Rhinolophus ferrumequinum: one gene and its partners. The protein of the gene in region 2 interacts with the protein of the main gene of each other region in a pairwise test. Links are inferred from orthologs where the notes say so. Each region holds a gene or a part of one and is shown on either strand. Other genes may lie near its edges.

What was found. The genes of interacting proteins can lie anywhere in the genome.
Region 1: the proteins of STAU1 (region 2) and LONRF1 interact in binary tests that used the Homo sapiens proteins (3 or more experiments, as listed by UniProt). The two-hybrid records come from large-scale screens. The link is inferred for Rhinolophus ferrumequinum from reciprocal best matches to the Homo sapiens genes STAU1 and LONRF1.
Region 3: the proteins of STAU1 (region 2) and NXT1 interact in binary tests that used the Homo sapiens proteins (3 or more experiments, as listed by UniProt). The two-hybrid records come from large-scale screens. The link is inferred for Rhinolophus ferrumequinum from reciprocal best matches to the Homo sapiens genes STAU1 and NXT1.

What each region holds. Positions count from the first base shown.
Region 1 is NC_046287.1:69,225,509-69,233,363, forward strand, and holds the start of LONRF1 (LON peptidase N-terminal domain and RING finger protein 1), read right to left. Parts: upstream 3,010-7,855; 5' UTR 2,907-3,009; coding exon 2,186-2,906; intron 1-2,185.
Region 2 is NC_046306.1:10,051,476-10,059,292, reverse strand, and holds the start of STAU1 (double-stranded RNA-binding protein Staufen homolog 1), read right to left. Parts: upstream 3,016-7,817; 5' UTR 2,881-3,015; intron 1-2,880. UniProt on the Homo sapiens protein: Binds double-stranded RNA (regardless of the sequence) and tubulin.
Region 3 is NC_046306.1:43,765,973-43,773,809, forward strand, and holds the start of NXT1 (NTF2-related export protein 1), read left to right. Parts: upstream 1-4,828; 5' UTR 4,829-5,199; intron 5,200-7,460; 5' UTR 7,461-7,520; coding exon 7,521-7,837.

The DNA.
Region 1 (7,855 bases), on a different chromosome or scaffold from region 2:
TACTAATGCCAAAAAAAAAAATCTTCCTTGGAAATTTATATTAAAAATTTTCATTGGATGAGCTATAAAGGCAGGATGAGTACTCCAACATTTAGAACTGGAAGGAAAATACAGTGTTCCCTCTACAACCAGTTAGCTGTGGGCTCTGGACAAGTCATTTCACTGCCCTAGATCCTGCTTCTTCACTTTCAAAATAAGGACCATGGCCTTGATGGTCTGTACCACCCCTCTTAAAATCTGTTCAGCCAAAGCCACAGAGTTGTCTGTATCAGAATTTTGTATTCCAAATAGTTCTTTTTTGTTCTGGGTTTAACATCCCCATAAAAATAGTGAAAGAATATGAAAACATGCCAAGTTTATGCTTTGAGCTCTAAAGGTGTTAAATAACTTGATATATTCTAAGCAAAAAGGTCTAATAAGCACTTAGAGTAAAAGAACCATAAAAAAAATACTTTCAGTTACATAGCTTATAAATTTACCTAATATCTAACATCAATTTCTATTTTATAAGACAGGTATGGGTAAACAGAAACCAGCCTAGGGGGTAGTCTTTTGACTGGGGGGGGGCTAAGGGGGTGCTCTAACTTAAGTTTACACAACAAAGACTGTGATAACAAGTTTAACCACACCTCCCCCCACCCCAATAGGCAAAAGGCAATGCTGAACACAATAGAAGATTCCACTACAGGCCCAAGCAAATTACATCCTGGTTAGAAAAGTATAAAATCCCAGCTAAACAGAAACTCAGGGCAGCGGTCTACTCCACACTCTGGCCCTGGCAACTCCTCTGCCAGTGTTTCTCTTTTTAAATAAACTTTGTAACTTCTATTCCTTTGTGCCTCTTGAATTCTTTCACAATCCGGGAGCTAGCAACCGTGACATTTTAGATTTCTATTTTCTTGGGGATTATTTTCCAAGTATTACTTCAAGTCATCATAGATGCTAAGCTTGAAATACGCTGATTTAACACAAGGTTTAACAATGACACTGTTGACATTTGGGGCCTGGCGATTGTGTGGGAGGCAGTCCTGTGCATTTCAGGACGTTTAACAGCATCCCTGGCCTCCACCCACTGGATGTACCAGCACCAATCCCACAAGGGGTGGCAATGAAAAATGTCTCCAGATACAGTTCCAGATAATGTCCCCTGGGGGGTAAACTCCCCCAGGCAGAGAACAACCGATTTAAATAACAATTCTTCATTTTACATAGGTAAGTCTGAAATGTCCCCTTCCACAGCCTAAAACCACCTTAAGAAAAGTGCTAAGCTAGGTTAGGTGGCCGAAGCTGCTTCTCCGAGGTGAAGAAATAGACAAAAGATCTAAAGGCCTATCCCCACAACTTGATCAAGAGTGGAAAGGCAAACAGAAGCGTGGCAAAGAACTCGATGAGACTACCTCTTTATCTTGGACCGTGAATTAGGTGTATTCGAAACAAAGCACATATATGTTGATGAAATAAGTATGATTTCAAATAGGCAGGTTGAAACTATCAAGAGGAACCAATTCCGCAGGCATTTTCAGGGAAGGCTTGAACACCCCTGGGCAGCTCGGACACCCGCCCAGAGCCGAGTGGCCAGCGGGGCCCCCGGGTGCTGGGTGCGGGCGCCGAGCTCCCGCCACGCCCACCGGACGTCACCCGTTACACAACGCACCCCCCCCCATACACACACAGCTTATGCAATTCTGCCCTCCCGCGGCTTCCAAATTGCCCCAGTGACTTTTGTGGGAGACAAAGGTAAACGTTGCCCGCCTAGGATCCTCTCTCTCCGCCCCGGCTGTCGTTTGCGGAGCGGCCAATTACCGGAAAGAGCGCGGCAGGAAGCGAGCGGCCGCTCCGGCTCGCCCAACTCCCACCCATCCCGCGCTCCGGCGCCCTCGCCCCCACTCCGCTCAGGAGGCGCCCGCCAGACCGCAAGGCCGCGTCCGAGGGAACCCCGCGCCTGTGCGCCCCTCCCCGCGCCGCGTCACAGTCGGCTCCGACGGCGATCCCCATTGTGACCGAAGCACCCCAGGGCGCCGCCCCCTCCCATACTCTCGAGGAGCCCGAGACCCGACACAAGGGAGTCAGGCAGCCTTGGGGAAGCAGAGACACCTCCCGGGGGCACAGACGAGCTTGGGTAGCTATCCCATCCCGACAGGAGGGTGGGGTCGGCCGGGCTCGCGCCGCATCCCCGCGCAGTCACCTGCTCGCAGCGCCTCGCAGGCGGCGGCCAGGGCCTCCCGGTAGCGCCCCTGGTGCAGCAGCTCTGCGACCCGGCCGGTCGCCCGGGCTCGCTCCCGCTGGCCCGGGAACCACTTCTCGGCCAGGTGGTTGAGGACGACGCTGGTTCTGAAGCCAGAGGTGGCGATGGCGGTGGCCAGAGGCGGGGACCGCGGAGCGGTGCCCTCAGCATCAGTGGCAGCGGTGACGGCGGGTGGCAGCCGGTCCCGGCAGAGGCGGCAGCGGGAGCGGAGCTCTCTCCGCAGGCAGCGGCGGCAGTAGCTGTGGCCACATGGCACGGTCACCGGCTCGCTCAGAAAGTCCCGGCAGCCCAGGCAGCTGAGCAGCCCACCGGCGCCGGAGTCCGCGCCCGCTGCCGGGGTCGCGCTCCAGCCCAGCCCATGGCGGAGCCGGTAGTTGAGCACCAGGCAGTCCACCAGGGTGCCCAGGCACTCGGGCCTGACCGGGGCCCCTCGGCGCAGCGCCGCCGCGTACGCCTCCAGCGCTCCCTTCAGGTGGCCGCCCAAAGCCAGCAGCTCGCCGCGGCGGAGTAGCAGCTCCCAGCACTCCGACTCCGCGGCCGCGCGCTCCAGCCGGTCCCCGCTGCCGCCGCCCAATTCCCAGAACCGGCCTCGGCTCCGCGGCCTGGGGGCCATCTCCCGGCTCCCTCCGGGGGAGCTCCTCGCAACGGCCGGAGAAGACATGGCCCGCAGAGGGCTGCTCTGCCGCCGCCGCCCGCCGCCACGGTCCCGGAGTCTCCCCGACGCGCGGTTCCGCACGCGGCCCGCGAGCAGGGGGGCGTGGCGCGCGGACACGGCGGGGCGGCGCGCGCCCGGGAAGCCCCGGGGGCGGGGCCTGGCGTGCGCGGGGTGGGGCCGGGCTCCGCTAGAGCACCCGCGACTCCCCCGCACCGCCGCCGGCCGGGTCCCCAGGGGGCCGACTGGCTGGCCCCGCCCCTCCCGAAGCCCCTCCTGGCGAGGGACAGGAGGTCAGATGATCCACCAGCGGGGATCTAATTGGCTTCCCCCGAAAGAAGGGCCTGGCTTGTAACTGAACAAAGCCCGAAGGAGCCCAGACCTTCATCGCCCTCCCTTCGCAGCCGAAAGCCCCCCACCTGCCACGGCTTCTCCCCTAATGCCTGCTTCCTCGGCGGTCTTCTGCCAAGAGGCTGGCCTCGTGGGACTAAGCCCTAAATCCCCGCCCACCCGAGTTGGGACCCGCGCCCTTTGTGAGAGCCTCCGGCTGTAGTGTCAGGGTTGTCAGGTACAAATCTGCATTTTCATTAGTTTATGCCCAAGTTACAGATAGACACGTAGAGGGCCTAGGAATGCGTAAAGTCAGTCTGATGACTTTGTGACTCCTCAGGTCTAGAGTCGATCAACTTGAGAAATAATATAACCCCACCCACGTTCCTGAGGTGACTCCTTCCAGAGGGCAAGACAGTATTCCGTGGTGCCAAGTTACTGTTTTCTTTGCTGTTTAAAACTCACCCCCACCTCAAGGGAGAGAGCCCACACGTTCCCGAGGTGTCAGTTCTACCCTCCACATCTCATTCACTGCCCTACAGCTAGCAAAGACCCATATTTGGCGTTTTTGAAGAGTAAACACCAGGATGAATGCTTTTCACATAGTTATCACCGTATAACTAGAACCCAAGCAGAATCTGCAGTTCTGCTGACAAAAAAAGATCCGTTTCTATATTTTCTTTAAACTTTATGGCAGTGAGTTTAAAGCTCTCAGTTGAAATATTTACAGATCTGATTATAGGGTTCTAGATTGTTAATGCTGGAAAGTGACTTAGAACTTTTAGTTATTTTTTGAATGGTTAGAAACAATGGCCCAGAGAGGGCAAGTTATTTGCCCAAAATCACATTGCTAATATTATACAGAGGTTTTAAGATCACCTAACTCTGATTCTACTATTATGTTACCATGTTAGAGCTTAGAAATACTATTTTACATGAGATTTTCAAAATAAGCTGCTAGATGGAATGTTAGCCTGAGCATGCTATGTCTGAAATCGGCCAACGTTTAATATCCATCTTTATACAGAACAGGTAATTGCGCTCAAAAGTGCTTTGAGTTACATGTGTTTTTACTACACAATGAGCAAATTGTGTAACTTCGGAGGAGATGGAGATATATTGTCCCAAAAGGAACAAGGAAAAAGCTAACTGAGGAAAAGCTGAGGCTTTTGTTCCAAACAGTGTGCAGAGGCAAACAAGTTTATCACTCACGTCAAACCCCGAGCAAATTACAGCTAAGACCCAAGGAGCAACTTCTAGTCATTTGAGGTGGGGAATATTGGGATTAATTCATGAGCATAATCTTGAACCTAATTCTAACCCCCTAAATTACTACCTTCCTTCAATAAGCAGAATGACTTCAGTCAGATGCCCACATACTCACTGAGACTTGAAACCATAAGTGGTACAACAGGTATCCTTAGGTACGTGGACATTGACGTTTGCGATGCGTTCCTGTCCTTAACAGCAGCTTGCAAAATGTGCAATAGTAAATAGTAAATTACTGAGCAGTAAGTATGTTCATGATTACACCAGAAGTATGAAAAATTGGTGAACATGCATATCTTATTAAATACAGTTTAAATCAGGTTTTGTCATGTATGGTTCAGAAAATAATATAAAGTTTCATTTGTCCTTTGGAGTTTCTTTCCCTAGTAAATGTGACAACCACATTTGATTCTGGTGTGAAATAAAATGGTACAAGTATAATGGGAGAGGGAAAAAATGGGACTGTAGGAGGAACCTTGCCGTGTTCTGCTTGGCGTTTGTGAATGGTAATAATTCATGTTTGCTGGTTTATACATTTACATAACTGGTTCTCATTTATGTAACTTATTTATGTAAGAGGCTGTACTGCCTCTGTGGCCTTTGTGTACTGCACAATTTCCCTCTGAATCCGGAAGTCTGGGGCAAAACAATCACTGGCTCTATGACAGTTCACTCTTCACAGTCATCCTGTGCCACCAAAAGAGGATATGCACTCTGATGCGACTGCTTTTTAAATTCAGAGGAGAGAAAAATGAGTGTATCTCTTCGTTCATTTTCTAAAATTTGGACTTTGGTCTCTGACTCACCCAGGGAGGCTGCCAGGGAGAAAAGAGAATTCTGTGAAAGAGCCCCCAGGCTGGGAGGAGGGCAATGGGGTGAAGAACTCTCCTCTGTTTTCCTTTCAGCATTACTTGCTTGGTCTTTTCTAACAAAGTAGTAAAATCATGAGATTTGTATTTCATTTCAGTTTTAATTTTAGTGTTGTCTTCTAAAATAGATCAGTTATGTAAGAGAGTAAGAAGAAAAGCATATCTGTTTCCTAATTTGGAAAATGCTTATCACCATCATTGCCTGCATAGCCCTGCCCTCCCCCACCCTTCCTCACCCCCCTACACACACACCACAAGGAGACTTTGCCTGAGAGAGTTAGGTAAACTCCTATGAAAGAGTAATGTAGCATAGTGCTTTCTTTGGACACCCGTCAGCTGAAGATGAGTATTTGAACCTGTTTTTTAACGGGGGTGAATTTACCATTTGTTCCTTCACATTCTTTTCATTAAAAAAGCCTGAATTTAAGCTTCAAGAGCCAAGCAAAATTATGCCCTCTTCCTGATTAATTTCAGTTGGCAACATTCTCGTCTGCATTGAAAACAGTAAAGTGTCATATAATCAGTACCTATCCAGTAGCATATCCACACATATTGCACAGATGGAAGGAGCTATAGAGACCACCGCTCATACCCCTCCTGCGATATATGTATATAAGAACGCTGAGGTTGGAGAACCTGCTGAGTTAATAGAAGTCATACTGAAGAAGGAATCCAGAGACCTGGGACTGACCATGTTTATGCCTTTGTCTGTGAGGAAGTCCCTTGGCCATCTCTGAGTGTGGTTTGTCATCTGTAAAAGGAGGGAACTGTAACTCTCTCTCAGGTGCTTCTGCCCCTGGATCCAAGCCCTAGGGGTTTGTTTGAACACAATGAGAGGAGGCAGAGAGTCTCCCAGACTCAGGAACACAGCAACATGACACCTGATGAAAATGTAACAGCAGAAGGTGAAGGCTGGAATACAAGAGGAGGATATCAGGGAGCACATTTTGTTGATGTGCACCCAGCCCTGTCCAGAGGGGGGAGTGGCCATTCTCTGGGATGTGAATGTTTTCAGTGACTGGACAGGGATCCCCCACACCTCTTCACCCCTACTGTAAATCTATGAGAGGCTGGAGGAAAGCCGGGGGAGGGGGGAAAAGGGGCTGGTTATATAACTTGGGTATTTGTGGGGTAGTTTATGTAAGATGCTAAAAATACAGTATATGATTGCTATAACGGTGTTCTAAGTGAAAAGCCCTAATGAGGACAACCTGAGTAGGTTAAATAGAGGTGATGCTGAACAGATGTCTAAACCCAATTGCCCGCAATGAGTACTGTCTAACCAAGTACAGTTTACTACTCATCAGTAAACTGTTCTCTGTTATGTGGGGAACACAGCCAGTGTGTTCAAGGGGCACTACCCTTACCATTCTTAATTCTTTTCTAACACTCTGAAGAATCTAGAATCTAGAAACACCAAGTAGGTATAGCTGGCTCCAGATAGAACTAGATAGCTCAAATGTAGCCAGCAGTAGCTGAGTTTAATAAGCGTTCATCTATATCCATTTACATAAACAACTTGCTTCAAAGAATGATTTGGAATTTTGTAGGATAAACTTGTTTGTGTCTATCGGAAAAAAAAATAGAGCCATTTATATGTATAAGGAAAGTTTGCAACTGCTGAGATGGTGTGTGTGGAAAAGCACTGAGGCCCAAAACCCTCTAACCCAGAGGGCAGCCACCTGGATTCAGTATGCCCATGGGCAAAGTTTCTCCAGCTCTGGACGATGAGGGCGTTGTAATATGTACTTTCCATAGTCCCTTCCAGCCCAGAGAGGCTGTAGTTTCTGAACACATCCCTGCCTTTTGATAATTTTCGAGGGGAAAACCAAGTACGCTGGGCCCACATTTGAAATCTTTAATCTTGTAATTAGCCCCCTGTGGGCCTGCCCCCAGAGGGGCGGTGTCTACATACTCATGCTTGCTTCTGTCTGGGGCCTAGGTGGGGTCACGGAGTTGGGAGAATCGGGGTTGCATGGCATCCTTGTCCTGAGGGGGCAGCTGTCCAGGGATGAGGACAAAGGGCGAAAGGATGCACTAGGTCCCAAGGGGCAGGAGAGGGTGAAAGGCGGCCCCGCGGGGTCATGTAGGTGGGTGATGGCTCTGGAGAAAGGTGGGCACTTGTGGATCACCATTCAAATGGAGGGATGAAAAAGAGGAGGGCGGTGAAATGGCGAGTCCTGCCAGGGAAGGCCACTCCCGAGCGCACCACCCCATCTTGGTGCCTTCGGATGGATGCCATTTCGGATCCAAACTCTTAGGTTCGTCTCCAGCTGGCACGAAGGGGCTTAGTAGTGGGTAATCAGCGCCCCCATACACTTGCTAGCAGTCCCTGCCCTGGTACTCTGGAGCAAAAAGGAGCCCTGTGCAGATCATGGCTCAGCCATCTGCCCGGGAGGCCTGGGGAGGCAGGCGGTCTGCTAGGTGAGGTGCGGTGAGGCAGGGGTGGAGGAGCCTTCGAGAGCTGTCTGGTCCCAAGGCAGCCATGAG
Region 2 (7,817 bases):
TTCCCCTAAGTTAATATTAAGAGGTATGCATATCCCTCCCCATCTCCCAGGCTGTAATAACTAAAACATAACATACATTTTCACTGTAACTGATCAAGCTCAAAAATAAGCCTGCATAACTGAAATAACAATGTTACAGGTCTAAAAGCTAGAAACTGTTCATGACCAGAAATGTGAAAATTAAGCAGTAAGACAAATAATATATTCCTGTCAACTTCCATTCTAGGAGAGATCTCTTTTTGGACAAGAAAGAAAAACATGAATATCTATGCTGTGAATTCATTCACACTTAGTAAATATTTGTAAATATAGCAGATGGGGAGGTGGGATCTTTGGAAAATAAGTCTACAACAGAGTTTTGAAATCAAATATCCTTTGCTTAATTCTTAACCTAAGGTGACAGCAGCATATTTACACAAGGACGTAAAGAAACTTTCAAAGTTTTATTATGAATTATTAACTGTTGTTTAACTTTGCCATAAAGTTATTCTGCATTAAAAGTGGTTTTAACAGGTAGACCTCCACCAAAACAGGATTAGGGATCTGTATTTCTGATTGCTTTTCCATTATAGACATTAATAGCTCAAGAACGTTGCTTCTGCACACAAAGAAGTCAGGAAGTACTTTGGATATGACTTTGAGGGGGGTAAACACTGAATCAAGAGCTATAATAATTCGGCTGGTTTTTTGTTTGTTTGTTTTTTCTACTGTATAGTAACCATGTCAAAAGAGATGATGAGAAGCCCAACAAACAAAATGAGAACTGTGATTCTACTACAAGTAAATTTTGTGACAGATTAACAGTCTGGAAAAATCTGGTAAAATTATATGATGTTTCAGATTTGTTTCAAAACCCAGTTTGGGGGAGGCAGTACTACATGAAAGAAAAACTGACCCTAGCTATGAGTTAATATTTATCAAAGCTGAGTGACCAATACATGGGGATTCTCTATACTATTCGATTTTTGTATGTTTTCCATAATAAAAAGGTTTTTTTAATTAGGTTATCTACTACAGTATTAAAACATCATTTCCTTAACACTACAATTTTCCATATGGCAAAAGACATGCTTTGTCTTCTGTTGCTTGTTTAGTTGTTTGCTTACGTGTTTTTAAAGAGTCATCCAAAGATTTTAAACTAGAAACGATGGTAAGACTATGTGTCAGAAAATTCTAGGAAAATGTCAGTAACAGGGAGACCAGTTTGCATCACGAGTGTTATTGAGATGGTGGTAAATCAAAACAGTTAAAGTTCAGTGAGGAAATGTATTACCTAAAATAATCCAACGTACAGGAGGATCATTCAGTAGAGCAAAGACACTCCTTACTTTTCTGTAAATCTGAACCACCATGAGTTATATTTTCTTAATGAAGGGTACACCTACAGAACTAAGTACAGAATTAAAAGAAACTCTGCATCCTTAAATAAAGTTGCTGTTTTATAAATCCTACCTGTCACCAGGATGACCGAAACTGCTCGCTCTACAATCCAACTGTATTTGTAGTTTTTATTTCAACAAGCAGCAAAGTAGTTTACATTTGGTAAGCACACCGATTCTTGAAAACCCAAAAACAACCAAGAATCTGGTTTAACTCTCTTTCCACCACCCTCTAAACAATTAAAGCTACAAGCAGAAGGGAAGAGTGACCTTAAAAACGTCCCCACAGCCAGAGAACAGAGGCAGAACAGACTGAAGCACACATCTTCGCCGAGCAGAAGAAAACTTCCACATAAGCAATACTGCGACACGGAGGTGGGGCAAGGGCTTAAAAGGAAAGTCAGCCAACAGGGACGGAGGGAATAAAAGCACAGCTGCAGTGAAAAAAAAGTTAGAAGTTAGAGATGCAGGCAAGAAAGGACACACATTTTCCAGCTTCGTACACCCCCCTCCAGAGCCTGGCACACAGCAAGCGCTCCAGAAGGGTTTGCTGAACTCAAGGAAAGCTTCTGCCAGCAACTTTCCCAGAAATGGAATGACAACAAGAAGCCGGATGATGGCAGAAAAAAATGGACAGGTTGCTCACACGGAGAGAGCTGGTGAAAATCTTGCAGGTGGATCAGCGGAGGAGATGGAAAGAACAGCATCTATCTGTCACAGACTGCCTACTTACAGAGTGTCCCAATTAAACGTACACCCCTTTCAGATATTAACAACCCAAAACAATAAGCCGGCGCTGGCGGTAGGCACGCTGAACATTTCTGCCTCTACGGAAACTCAAACGGGGAGGTAGGTCAACCTATGTCCACTCTACCCACTAAGTTATACCTTAATATCACGCTAATAAATTATGCAGACGGTTTATTGGGACACGCTGTGGGTCTGGCACTCTGATAAGCGCTTTACACGCCCCAATTCACTGAACCTTAACAGCCTTAAGAGGCAGGGACAGCCTTAGCCCCTTTTTCCAACCAACACAACAAAGAGTTTAGGTGACTGGCCTACGGGGACGAAGCTGGATTTGTACCCGCGTTGAACACCTGGGTGGTGCGCTAACTACTATGCTACAGACCTGCTTGGGGGGATTTAGGTGCTCCGGGTCTCAAGGACTTGAAGCGGGGACCCTCCGCCTCCGCCCCGGGAATAACTTCGGCATCCCGGCGCGCCCGGAGGAATGAGGAAAGGCGGCGTGGCACCTGTTTCTGGCCCCAATAAGAGGTGGAAGGGCTGGGAGCGCCTGGGGTCCAGGCCGCGGGGCGCCCCGACGCGGGGGGCGCGGGAGGACCCGCCTCCTCCGGGAAGGCCCCGCGGGCGGAGCGGGAGGCCCGGGGAAGGAGGCCCGGCGCGCGGGCCCGCCGAGGCCTAGGCCCCACCCGCCGCCCACCTCCCCGCGGCCGCGGCGCCCGCGCGGGCGCCGCCAGGCCGGGCCTGGCCGCCTCACCTGGCTGTTCCCCGGCGCTCGTCCCCCGGCCGGCGGTCCTGGGCGGCGGCGGCGGCGACGGCGGTGTCGGCGGCGAGGAGGGGAAGGAGGAAGGAAGAAGGGAAGAGAAGGGACGGCAGGAGGGAAGAGACGGAGTGGCCGCGGAGAAGGCGGGCGCCGCCGGGCCGGGGATCAGAGGAAGCGGGGAGCCGAACCTGACACGGCCGCCGCGGGCGCAAACCCTGAAGAGCCGCTCCGGCGCCCGCAGCCCCGCAGGAAGTGACGGGGGAGGGGCCTCTGCCCGCCCCCAGCCCCCGCCCGCCTCCATGCCCGGCCCCACCCCCCGCCCGCGGCCCGGACCACAAGTCCCGGCGGGCGCCTGCGCTCGCAAGGCACGCCGGGAACTTAGTGGGCTGGGACCTGGTCTCTCTAGAGCCGCCTAGCCCGCCCTGGGCGCCGGGACCTGCTGGGAGTTGTAGTTCAGCTGGGAGGTGTGACCCGTCCGCGGGAAGCGGGACTGGGCCTCTCTTCTTTCCTCACTCCCCATTCGTTCTTCCGGTTTTCCTCTCCGTCCTTCTCCCGCCTCGGTTCCTCATTTTTCTCTTTCCCTCAATTCCTCCATCCGTAAATGTTTATTAAACGCTTGCTCTGTGCAAAGCCCTGCTCCAAGAGCTAAAAATATGGTGGTAAAGAGACAAAAATCCCTGCCCTCATAGAGCTCACGTTCTTAGGTAACACACACAAAAATAAAATAAGTAACTTTTAGAGTGACTTAAAAGGCAAGAAGTGCCAGATTGCTATTTCTTCCAGCTCTAGATAAATGAAGCGGGTTTTAGCAGCCATCTTATATGATCTTACCTGGCAAGATATACATACTATTTTTACCACTTGTTGTATCGTGGAAGAAAAGAACTGTATCTGGGCTTTAGCCCAGTGATATGCAGATGAGTTAGCAGCGCGCCAACCAGACCAACATTCGGTTGGGGCAGAGGCGGTCCCAAATCACCGTGCTGGTAATCATTTGGATTACCAGTTCCAAGCTCAAGACAGGCTTCAGAGAGATCATATGGTCACCTAATTGAGGGGATGAAAAAAGGTATAAATAAGCGTGTAAACTACAGAGTATTACTCAAGGCGGGAATGAGAATCTGGCCCTTTTTCAATCCTGCCTGGTGGATGCCCTCAGAAAATATACCAACCTAGATCCATGGAGCCACAATACTAGCCATGTATTTCATTGAACAATCAGCTCCAGACATCGGGAGAAAACTCCAGAAATTTTAATTAGGACCTCAGACCCCTTTCCCTCAGCTTCCTAGTCTATTGGACACGGTCTTTAACGTCTTTAACAACCGAGATGAAGCTGAAAGGGAGTCTAGGGTTAGGAAACCGAGGAGAAGGATCACAGAAGGGCTCAATTAATAGCTGCTGCCCGTGCCAGCGCACTTCCTATGCAGCCTTACCCGGGTTCAGGCTCTCATAGAGGGAGACCCCTGAAGACCGGCCCAGACATCTGCTACACCTGCTGTTGAGAAGGGCACAGGAATAAAGATTGCCCACACCAGGCCAGGAAGGCGGATTCTGGCCCTTGTCCCCTTTGCAAAAAGGAAGGACACAGGAAGAGGGAATGTCCCCTTTCCTCTCAAGGAAGGCAGCCACCCAGATTCCATGCTGGCCAAAAGGGCACCTCCTCCAATCGGCTCCTGCCAATGGTCATCGTCAACAATGAACCAGACAACTCTGACCCACTCGCATGATGGGCCCTGGGGATCATCCAGACTTCCCTCCTCAATATCACTGAGGCTGAACCCAGGGTAACACTTGATGTAGCCGGTACAAATATTACCTTTCGAATCAATACGGAAGCCGCTTTCTCTGCTCTTATCCAACACTGGCCCTACACTTCCTTCAGCTCTTCTCCTTACAGGCACTGAGGGAAACCCGACAACCTACAGGTGTACTTTCTCACTCTCAAGCTGCCTCGGGTCCCTCATATTTACCCATTGCTTTTTAGTAATGCTACAGTGCCTGATTCCCTTACTAGGGCAGGATATTACAAGTTACAAACTAGCAGAAGTTACAAACTAGCCTCCACTTAACACCTAAGCCTTCTCTACTGGCCTCTCTGCAGGCTGTTACTTCCTAGTCAAGTGGGAGAGTCCATCCTCCTTTCTATCCCTCCTCAGGTTAATAATCTAGTCAATCCTGCAGTTTGGAATCAAGAGATCCCAGGGGAAGGCATCCCACATCACCCCAGTCCAGATTAAGCTGAAAGTCCCCACAACTTTCCCTTGTATGCTATCAACAAGGAGGCCTAACTTGGGCTTCAACCAACAATTAATTAATTCCTCAGGTACCGCATTTTAATCCTCTGCGATTCACCTTGCAACATTCCCATTTTAGCAGTCAAGAAACCATCTGGTCAGTATCGGCTAGTCCAAGACCTCTGCATTATCAATAAGGCAGTAATCCCAATACACTCCCTTGTCCAAATCCATATACCCTCTGGGACTAATACCACCCAAAACGGAATGGTTTCCTGTCCTACATCTAAAGCAGGGGTGTCCAAACTTTTTTCAACAGTTTTCACCTAGGGCCATATGCGGTAAAATACACAAACAGCCGGGCCACGCACTCGAGGTGAAGTACGTATTGCCTCACCTGGTTTAGTGAAGTAAACTAAATATATTTTTGGAATTTGCTGTGGGCCAATTAACAATGGATTGCGAGCCGCAGTTGGCCTGTGGGCCGCAGCTTGGATACCCCCGTCTAAAGGATGCTTTCTTTTGTATTCCTTTAGATCCCCGGTCCCAATTTCTTTTTGCTTTTACCTGGACAGGTGCTTTTACCTCACATGCAGGTCTGCCAACAATACACCTGGACTGTCTTACCACAGGGCTTCTGCAACAGTCCACACATTTTTGGATTAGCTTTAGCCGGGGGCTTAAGAGACCTGTGCCTCCCTGAAGCCACCATTCTCCAATATGTGGATGATCTTCTAATCGGCAGTCCCAATAAACAAAGCTCAGAGCAACATGCTATCGAGACGCTAAATTTCCTCACTAGGCAGAGATATACAGTATCAGCCTCCAAAGCCCAGATTTCACAACAACAGGTTACATCCCTGGGGTCTGTACTCTCACCGGGGCAATGACAACTGAGCACCTTAAGAGTAGAACTCGTTACTTCCATGCAGCCTCTCAACACCAAGAGACAATTAAGGACCTTCCTTGGTATGGCTGGGTAGGGTATTGCCAGATCTGGATTCCCAGTGCGGAGGCACAGCCAAACCTGTGTACACGGCTTTAAAAGGTCCAGATCATGAGCCTTTATGTAGACTGGAATGTGGAATTAGAGCGGGTGTTCCGTTCTGTCCAGAAGGTTCTTCCTGAGGCCCCAGCCGTAGCTCTCCCCAACCTCTCCGAGCCTTTCTCCCTTTACATCTCAGAGAGGAGAGGGATTGCTTTAGGACTCCTTATTCAGACCTTAAGAGCAGTTCCACGCCCAGTGGGCTACCTATCAAAGAACCTAGATCGGGTAGCAAAAGTCTGGCCTCCCTGTTTAGGAATTCTAGCTGCCTTAGCTTTACTTTTAAAGGAAGCCTTAACATTTACTTTTAACCAGTCTCTGACCATTTACACTCCTCACCAAGTAATAAACATCCTCCATGCTAAGGCCCCTCACTGGCTGTCAAACAGTTCCAAACCCTTCGGCTTGACTCCCTGGACTTCACTATAAAACCCTGCAATACGCTACTTCCACTCCCACCCCCACCCCCACCCTTCTACCGGATCCATCCACCCAGGAGGAGCTCAGATGCTTAACGGCCCTAAACCTCTCCCATTCTGCCTGGGAAGACCTAGAGGACACCCCGTTCCCGAACCCTGATGCCATCTGGTTCACAGACGGGTGTAGTTTCATTAATCGGGAGCAGCAGAAGTCTGGTTACACCATTGTCTCCAGATCAGAGGTAATTGAGGCAGGCCCCGTCCCATTTCCACATCAGCCCAGAAGCCCAGCTCATCACTCTAACCAGAGCACACCTTCTAGCCAAAGACCTCCGAGTTGGAATCTGTACTGACTGTAGTATGCCCACTATATCCTCCACGCTCACGCAGCAATCTGGCTAAAAAAGGGTTTCCTTCCAGCCCAGAACAGCCCCACTAAACTCGGGGCCAAGATCCTCCAGTTATTTGAAGCAGTTAAGTCCTCTGTCAGAGTAGCCATCATTCACTGGCAGGGGACATCAATCCAAGACAGATGAGATCTCCCATGGCAACAATTTTGCAGACCAAACAGCCAAGCAGGATGCCCTCTCTACTACCGTGTTTCCCCGAAAATAAGACCTAGCTGGACCATCAGCTCTAATGCGTCTTCTTATATTATAGTAAAATAAGACCAGGTCTTATATTAATTTTTGCTCCAAAAGATGCTTTAGAGCTGATGGTCCGGCTGGGTCTTATCTTCAGGGAAACACGATATTAAGGTCCTTCCCCTCCTTCCAATGGGCTTTACTTTTCAATCTAATTACACACCACAGGAAGCCCTTAAGGCTAGGAAGAAGGGTTATACATCCAACCCCCAGGGCTGGCTCATAGATCCAGCCCTGAATCTGTTCATCCCACGAGCCTCCCAATGGAAGCGTCTCTATCACTTCCATCATACCACCCACCTTGGAGCTCAAGCACTCACTGAAATCACTGAGTGGCATTTCATAGGACCGAACATACTAGCAGATTGACAGAATATCTCCAGACTTGTCCCATATGCCTTAGAACTAACCCTGAAGGACAGCTTAAGCCTCCTTCCCTCTTAGAACCCACCCAGAGAAGAGGACAACTCCCAGGAGAAGACAGGCAGATAGATTTTACTCATATGCCTCCCTGCAAGGGTTGCTGTTATCTCCTTGTTTTCATTGACATTTTCACAGGCTGAATTGAAGCCTTTCCTTCCAAAAC
Region 3 (7,837 bases), about 34 Mb from region 2:
TCTTTCTTCGGACTCTTCCGGTAGGACAGCCCACTGCACTCACACATTTGCTGAAGTGCAAGTGTCCTGGTGTATAGGGACCTAGCTCACAGTCACATAAGCTAGCAGACAATCAAGATCTCCTGCCTCTTGGGATGCTGTGTGCCTGCGAGCAGGCCAGCAGGGCCTGTCAGATGGTTTTCCTTATGGAATGCTCTTTGTTTCACTAAACCTATATAACCTCGTTTCTTATCTGCCTAAGCGCAGAGCACTACCCCTCCCGCTAGCCACCACCTGAGTCTGTAAGTCTCAATAAATCTATGTCCTGCACTCAGCCACCTGGTGTGTTCTTTGGGCTTGCAGCTTCTCAGGAACAAATCTTGGAACAACTCAAACTCAGTCCGAACATAGTGTAACCTGTTCGCTTTTCCCTGCATGTTTGCTTTACTGGTTTCTTAATGAAAACTTTGGATGTTGGGCCTGCAGAGAACTGCTTCAGAAAATGTGCTCAATGGATATCTACAAAGCACTGCAGAACTGCGAGGGCTGGGAGCTAAGGAGGTGCCTCCAACCAGGGTCGCCCATACTCCTTGCCAGGTTCCTTTTGCAACCACTCAGATCTGAGGTGGGCCCCTCGGTTGCTATAGCAATGGGACCAAAACTTCATCCCATCTCTCAAGTGGTTTCAGGCTCAAGTTCTTCCTGGGGTGTGAGGAGTCTGGAAGGAGGGAAAGGTCCCAATCTATTGCTGCCCTTTTCTGGAACTGCAACTAAAGCCTCTGCCGCATAAGTCCTTCCAAATGTCCCCTGAACTCTCGTTACTGATTTTCCTACATGAATCATCCACGTTTGTACTCTCAGGTACTTAAATCAGTGTCCCCAAGTGACTGTGTAAGCTCTGATTCATCGCAGCCCTGCAATCCTTTCTGAGCTCAATTTACTCTGAAAATAGCTCTATTTTTCCATGTGATTTCCATTTCCACTTTTCCCTCCTATTAAAAGTATAATAAACTCTAATATTCAGCAGATACAGAAGATACAACTAGTATATTGGCTGATGCAAACAGCACAAGAGACCGACCCTCAGAAAAACATGCAATGTGATGTGAGGTCATAATGATGGCTACTGTATATTGAGTTTCTTCTATGGCAAGCACAATTGGGCCTTTTACTTTTCATTGTACCTGTACCATGAAACAAGGTCAACCAGGTCAGCCATGCCTATGGCTTTGATTTCCACCTGCAATCAAATTCCCAAATCTACACCTTCAGGCTGAATATCACCCATGCTCCAGCCCCAATACCAAATGGTCATCTCCGCTTAAATACCCATACTGCCGCCCCCAGCACAGCATTTCAGAACTGCACCCATCTCTCCCCCTAATCACCCTTCATTCTGTATTTCCCATTGAATCTAGTGGAATCACTATGTACAGAATTATAAAAGTAAGGAGTCTAGATTTATCTTTATTATCTCTCTCCCCACCACCTGCAATCATCTAGACAAATCTAGACAAAGGATAGGAGATATAATCAGTTGTAGAATGGAAAGTAAATGTAGTCAGCCTTGACATTGTAAATACAAAGATATTCCTGACTATATTAGTTAGAATTAGATTTGATGGCATCTAACAAATAAACTCGAAATGATGTAAAAAAAGTCACATAAAAGATGTCTATGTGTAAACAATCCAGAGCTCTTGCGGCAGCTCCATGAAATCACAATGGAACCAAGTCCGTCCCTAGGATCTAGCCCACATCTGCCTGGTTCAAAAGGGCAGCCAAAGCACCAGCTATCACATCTGCATTTGGGGTAGTAGAATGGAGAAAAAGGGAAAGATGGCCCAGTCTCCTTACTTTTAGAAAATCCCACACTGCAAAGTACATCTTATCAACCGAAAAAGTCATATACCTGACACAGCTAGTTGTGAGAGAAACGAGGAAGCATGGGTTTCAGGCTGGGTGGCCATGTGTGACATTACAAGTACAGAGTTGACAGCAACTCCCTGACTGTGTACAAAGATGGGACTTAGGAAGAGATAGTTCAGAGAACTGCTATTTTCATACAAGAGAGCAGAAAAATGATATCCTCTATCATTGATAGAATAGGAAGCAGAGGAGTAATAGCTTTTTTAAAGCTACAAAGTAACCACTGCAACATAATGAAATTGGCTAAACATATATCTTGTGAATGAGCCTTCCTTGTAATGAAGTCATTGGAGACTGTCTCAAGTTGATGAATCAAGCAATTGAATTACAAGCTTATTATTCAGAATTATAGAGGTAACAGCAAAACAAAAACAAAAAATAGAAACAGTTGCAAGTGTTTGCCACAGCCTCTCGTGGCAAACAGATGCTGATAGATCCTGCACCAAAAAACTATATTGAAAATGAGGAAAAGCTTAATGCTGTGTTTAGACTTGAAGATCCAAAATTCACCTGTCTTCAGAGCTGCCAAAGGCTTGGTGTGCATGACTATATGTGGTCTTCTTCCTTGGATTGACTCCACACAGCAAATGGAGCCACTTGCTTCACTGCTGCTTAAGCCAGGCTCATTTCCAGAAGGTGCCCATGTGATTTGGTGACAAATCCTACCAATTTGTCATTATGCTCATCCGAAATTTAAAAGCCAGTTGTTGAAGGAATTGTTGGCAAATAAGGAAGTTGCAGTTGATGCAAAATGTCGAAGCAAACTAACTTTTCCTGGATGCTTACTTTGTGCTCTGACCCTGCGCTAAATACTTACTATACATTGTTTCATGAGCTCCTCAGGTCAACCCAAGGAGATGGATATTATTACCATCCCCATTCTACAGATGAGGCAGCTGAGCTTCAGGGAAGTTAACTCACTTGCCACAATCACTCCGCTAAGCCACAAGGATTTTTGACTTAGAAGTACCTTTACATGTAAAGAAGTTTCTGGAATCATATTTCAACCAATGGACTGAGACCTGCCTTGTTCAATCAGAACTGTGCCACTGTAGCCTCATTTACATCTTTACCAAACAATTAGAGCACCTCCATAATGACCAATCAGGACACATGATTCCAACCAATTAGGACAGTGCTATGTGGACCAATCAAACTATGCAAATTTGGATTCCTCATTTACATAGAAATGGACTGATCAGGGACCAAAGCAGGAACTTTCTCTATAAAAGCATCTTTCCCAAAATTCCTTTGTTTGTGGGGGAGAGAGGTGAGGGAAGCAAGCACATTTTCCTTTTTCACCGGATGCTGTGTTTCCTGGGTTTGCAAACTGTTCACCTGAGGAGTCTCTCCTTTTATTGACCCTTGATTGGAGACTCTTGTTGGCATTAGACTGGTGGCTGGGGACCTTTTGTTGACAAAATAAAAAGAGCTTACATGGGAAATATGAGGAAACTTAAGGCAACACAATATCCAACCTAGTGGGCATGCAGTAAGTCAACTCTCATTTTCATTCCATTGATGCTATGATGTGGATTTTTGTATATTACATACTAATTTCACTGCCTCAGACTTTCTGAAGACATTTTAGTGTGAATACTATCCATAGATGCTAGCTCACCCTCTCTATGCAGCCTCCAACTTAATTTTTTATAATCCAAATTTTTCACCTTCTTGATTTAAGTGTTGGGGGGGGATTGCCTATATGAAAAAGCTCACCCAGTTTCTAAATTTGTCCTGAAACCAGAGAGCAAGAGTTATCTTAGGAATGCAAGCAAAGGTATGTCATAAATAGATAAGGTATGAGATGAAGGCACATACACTCTAAAGATCAGTAAACCTCCCCATCCCAAAGGCTCTGACAGATTTTCAAGGAATTAATATTCAGCCTCTCAGACCAGTCGATGGACCTGAGATTCTTGTGTCCGAAGAAACCAAAATTTTAAATTTATGCTGTAAACTTTAAGTTTCCCAAGTCCCACGCTAATTGGTTCTATTCTATTGAGCCTGTTTAAAAAAAAAAAAAAAAAAAAAAAAATTCAGTGGGAAAAAAAAAAAATCAGCCCAGATTCCAGCTTAGCTGAAATACAGCTAGTTTTAGGCCTGGAGAACAGAAAGAATCACAATACCAACCAAGCTCTGAGCCACAGCTGGAGCCAGGAGGTTTTCCTAGCCCAATTCACAGGACACACGAAGGTAAGTGTCCCTATTGGCATACTTTTGTCACTTCAAGCCTTATCCACCCGCTCAACTCTTTCCTTTCTCACATTTACGTAGTTAAGTTTCCCACTTAACAAAAATTGATTTCCCTCTATGTATCCTTTAGGATCAGATCAGGTACTTGATCAGGTAGACTTCAATAGAAACTCTGCCAGCTTCATCATCTTGGTGGTTAATATTCCTGGTTCCCTCACGGGACATCCTGACTCTCCACATGGTATCTCCTATTAAAATCCTTAGTTGGGTCACTGTCTGGTCACTGTCGCTGCTGGTTTCCCGTGATCGCATCAAGTCGTGAAGTTTCTCTAGTGTTTTAATTAGTATCACCCCCAACTACTGGTGAATAGAGGACGTGGGAGAAGGGACCTCTGCGTGACCCGCACACATTCCCCATCCTCCCCCACTAAGCGATCTCGTGTAGCAGAAGGGCCGACCCACGCTCAACGCGGGCGATTGGACTTTTGAGTTTTCATCCAATCAGGGACCCAACCTGACCAGTTGGGTCGGATTCTATGATCCGGTTAAACCAATGAAAAGTCCAGCACGGATATGCTGCGGTCTTCTGAAAAAGCGCCCCTCCCGGAAATCGCCACCTCCTCTGAGCCACACCTAGGCGGAGCTAGCCTCCGGGCCCGCCGTCCCACTGGTTGGCACAGTTGCCCGTCACAAGGCGGTGGGCGTGGCCGGGGTCGGGGGCGCTGGCTTATGAGCGAAGAACCGACAGCCGCAAGCGGTAACCCGCAGAGGCCGGTGTCAAGCTGCTGGCTCAGAGGGCCGGGCACCGGGGAGGAGCCTCACGGGAGGAAGAGGAGGGGCGGATGACGGCTTTTCCTGGCTCCTCCTGAGGCGAACGGCGGAAGAGTGCAGGGCCGCGGCAAGCACGCCGGCGACCTTCCGGGGCCGGCCCTCGGTGGAGTTGCGGCCAGGGTGGGGCACAGCGGACTGGGGCCGCGGTACCCCAGCTGACCGAGGCCGCCACCGCCCACGCTGACCCCGGGCCGCCCAGCTGGCCGAAGTCGCCGCGCACGTGACTCGAGGCCACCCCACTCACCCTCGACTTCACCGGCGCAGGTTCGTGACCCCCCCCCCCTTCAGTCATTCTGAAGACCACAGATTAGGCCGAGGAATCCACTAGACCCACGTGTGTACCCCACGCCCTCCCTCCATTGTCAGGAATAAGCCGGTTTTGTCCTTGTCCACGTGGCGGCGTTGCAGTTCTGTATCAGGCTATCACATGTGCCGAAAGCTAGGCAGTAAATTCGCCTGGGGATTAAGAGTATGTACTGGAGCTGGAGCAGGTCCCGGGCCAGAACATGGCCGGGGAGAGTATACTTTACGTTTTTGATTAAAAGCCACTCACCACCTGACCTGAAATGAGGCCTGATGCATCTTCTCTGGTCCCGCTCCAAAGAACTGGACGGTGGGGACTTTTGAAGACGGCGAGCTTCACAGCCTCTTCTTCCACTTATCAGGATCATTATTTTCTCTAATTTGATACAGACTGGCTAGCCGGAAGCTCCGTGGGTGACCGAACCACAGGAAGTGGCGGTGGTCATTTTAATGCGTATGGGGGCGGAGCAGGTTAATCTGGACAGACTGCTTTGGCAGAACTGGAGAACGTGAGCCAGGAACGGGTGGAGATGGAGCGTTTCCAAAATTGAACTGAGATGGTGGAAAGAGAGGAATGTCAATGTGAGAAATACTGTGGGCTTTGGGTCGTTGGGAATTCCAGCAAAAGAGAAATGTGGGCCCCTGAAAGAGAATTTTCAAACTAGCCATCCTGGAACTGTGCTGTTACAGACTTGATATCAAAAATGCAGGAACTTAAAAAACAAGCAAGTAAAAGAACAACATAGTCTTGACAACATTTTCAGGGGCAGCACACGTTCTTATAAATGATAAATCAGGAGTGTACTTACTGTCAAGACCTTGATCCAGACCTAAGTTTCAATTTTCTTATTAGTAAAATTGTTTTTATAGTAATACCCTCTCACCATCCATTTGTGGTGACCATTAAATGAAGTAATGCATGTAAAACACTTAGCAAGTACTAACTCAAGAGTGTTGAGGCTTGACTTTAGGTCCATGGAGAGAGTGGAAAACCCAACATCTGTACCTGGCTCTGGAACTGCTCATTTCTAGAACCAATCTCCCTCCCAACTCCTTACAGTTCTTTACAGGAGGCGGAGGGCTCCACCTTTCTCAGCCCTTAAGAGTACCTGACTCCTTCCCAGTCCTGTGTGGAATCTTTTATGTATTTCATAAACTGATATTAAAAAAAAAAGTTCCGGTCTGTGAAATGAAAAAAATTTATCAATATTTAATTTTGTAATTCGAAACATATCCACTATTTTAGTAATGTTGTCCTCTGTTGGATTTTTTTTTTAAATTTGTTTAGTGAAATATTTTAACCATGCAGAAAAGAACAGAACTAGAACAGTGAACCAGACCCTGGAAAAAAAAACAAATAATGATATTTCTTTATGCTTTTGGACATTTTTTTTTTTAAGAAATGTTACATTTCAGCTATAGTTGAAGCTCTTTTGCCACCACCAGCCCCACCACCACCCCATAGAATTTCTTCGATTCTAACTTGTCTTTCCATCATGTCTCACAGAACTTACCTGGTGGGTATTTGTGCTCACAGATAATAGGTATTTTCCATTCTCATTCCCAGTAAGCCTCCAGGTTTGCTTCTTATAGCTGATAAGGATTATGGCCACCATTTTGGTTCTGTCCTCTTGGCATTTGTTCTCTTACCATCTTAAGAAGCCTCCCCTTTTTTTGCCCTTCCAGTCTCCATTGGGTGAACTCATGATAGGCTTTCCCAGACTGTCACTAGCTGATTAGCATGCACCATCTAATTGGCCTTTATTGGGTCACTGTTCACTTCAGCATGGTCCACTGTCTTTACCCAGGGTAAACTGGTTCCCTACTTCTCTAGGGACAGTCACACCTGTTCCATGCTTTCAGGAAAAAGTGGCTTTCCGTAGTCCAATACTATATTTTATAAAAGAAGATGTTTAAAATTCATAATAATAGCTACCATTTTCTGAGCATGTAGGTATCCAGCTTTGTAACTATACAGTTGGTATGTATTGTCTTATTTGATTCTCACATTACAACTATGCAACAAGTGGTAATATTCCCATTTTAAAATGAGCAAAATGAGGCTCAGTAAGAATAGATGCTGGCAGCAATTTGAGCCTAGAGTCATCTCTCTACAGTATGTAATTGTTTTGCCACCGATAGAAGAGCAGGAGTGTTTCATTGTCAGGGCAGAACGAAGTTTGGCATTCACATGAGTTCTCTTCAATCTTCCTGCCCCACAGCCCCGGCTCCATCAGGTGCCAGAAGCACCTGGGCTGAGATCTCCTGCAGCAAAGCCAGAGATGGCATCAGTGGACTTCAAGACCTACGTGGATCAGGCCTGCAGGGCTGCTGAGGAGTTTGTCAATGTCTACTACACCACCATGGATAAGCGGCGGCGTCTGCTCTCCCGCCTATACATGGGCACGGCCACCCTGGTGTGGAACGGAAATGCTGTTTCGGGACAAGAGTCCTTGAGTGAGTTTTTTGAAATGTTGCCTTCCAGTGAGTTCCAAATCAATGTGGTAGATTGTCAACCTGTTCATGATGAAGCCACCCCAAGCCAGACTACAGTCCTCGTTGTGATCTGTGGAACAGTGAAATTTGAAGGCAACAAACA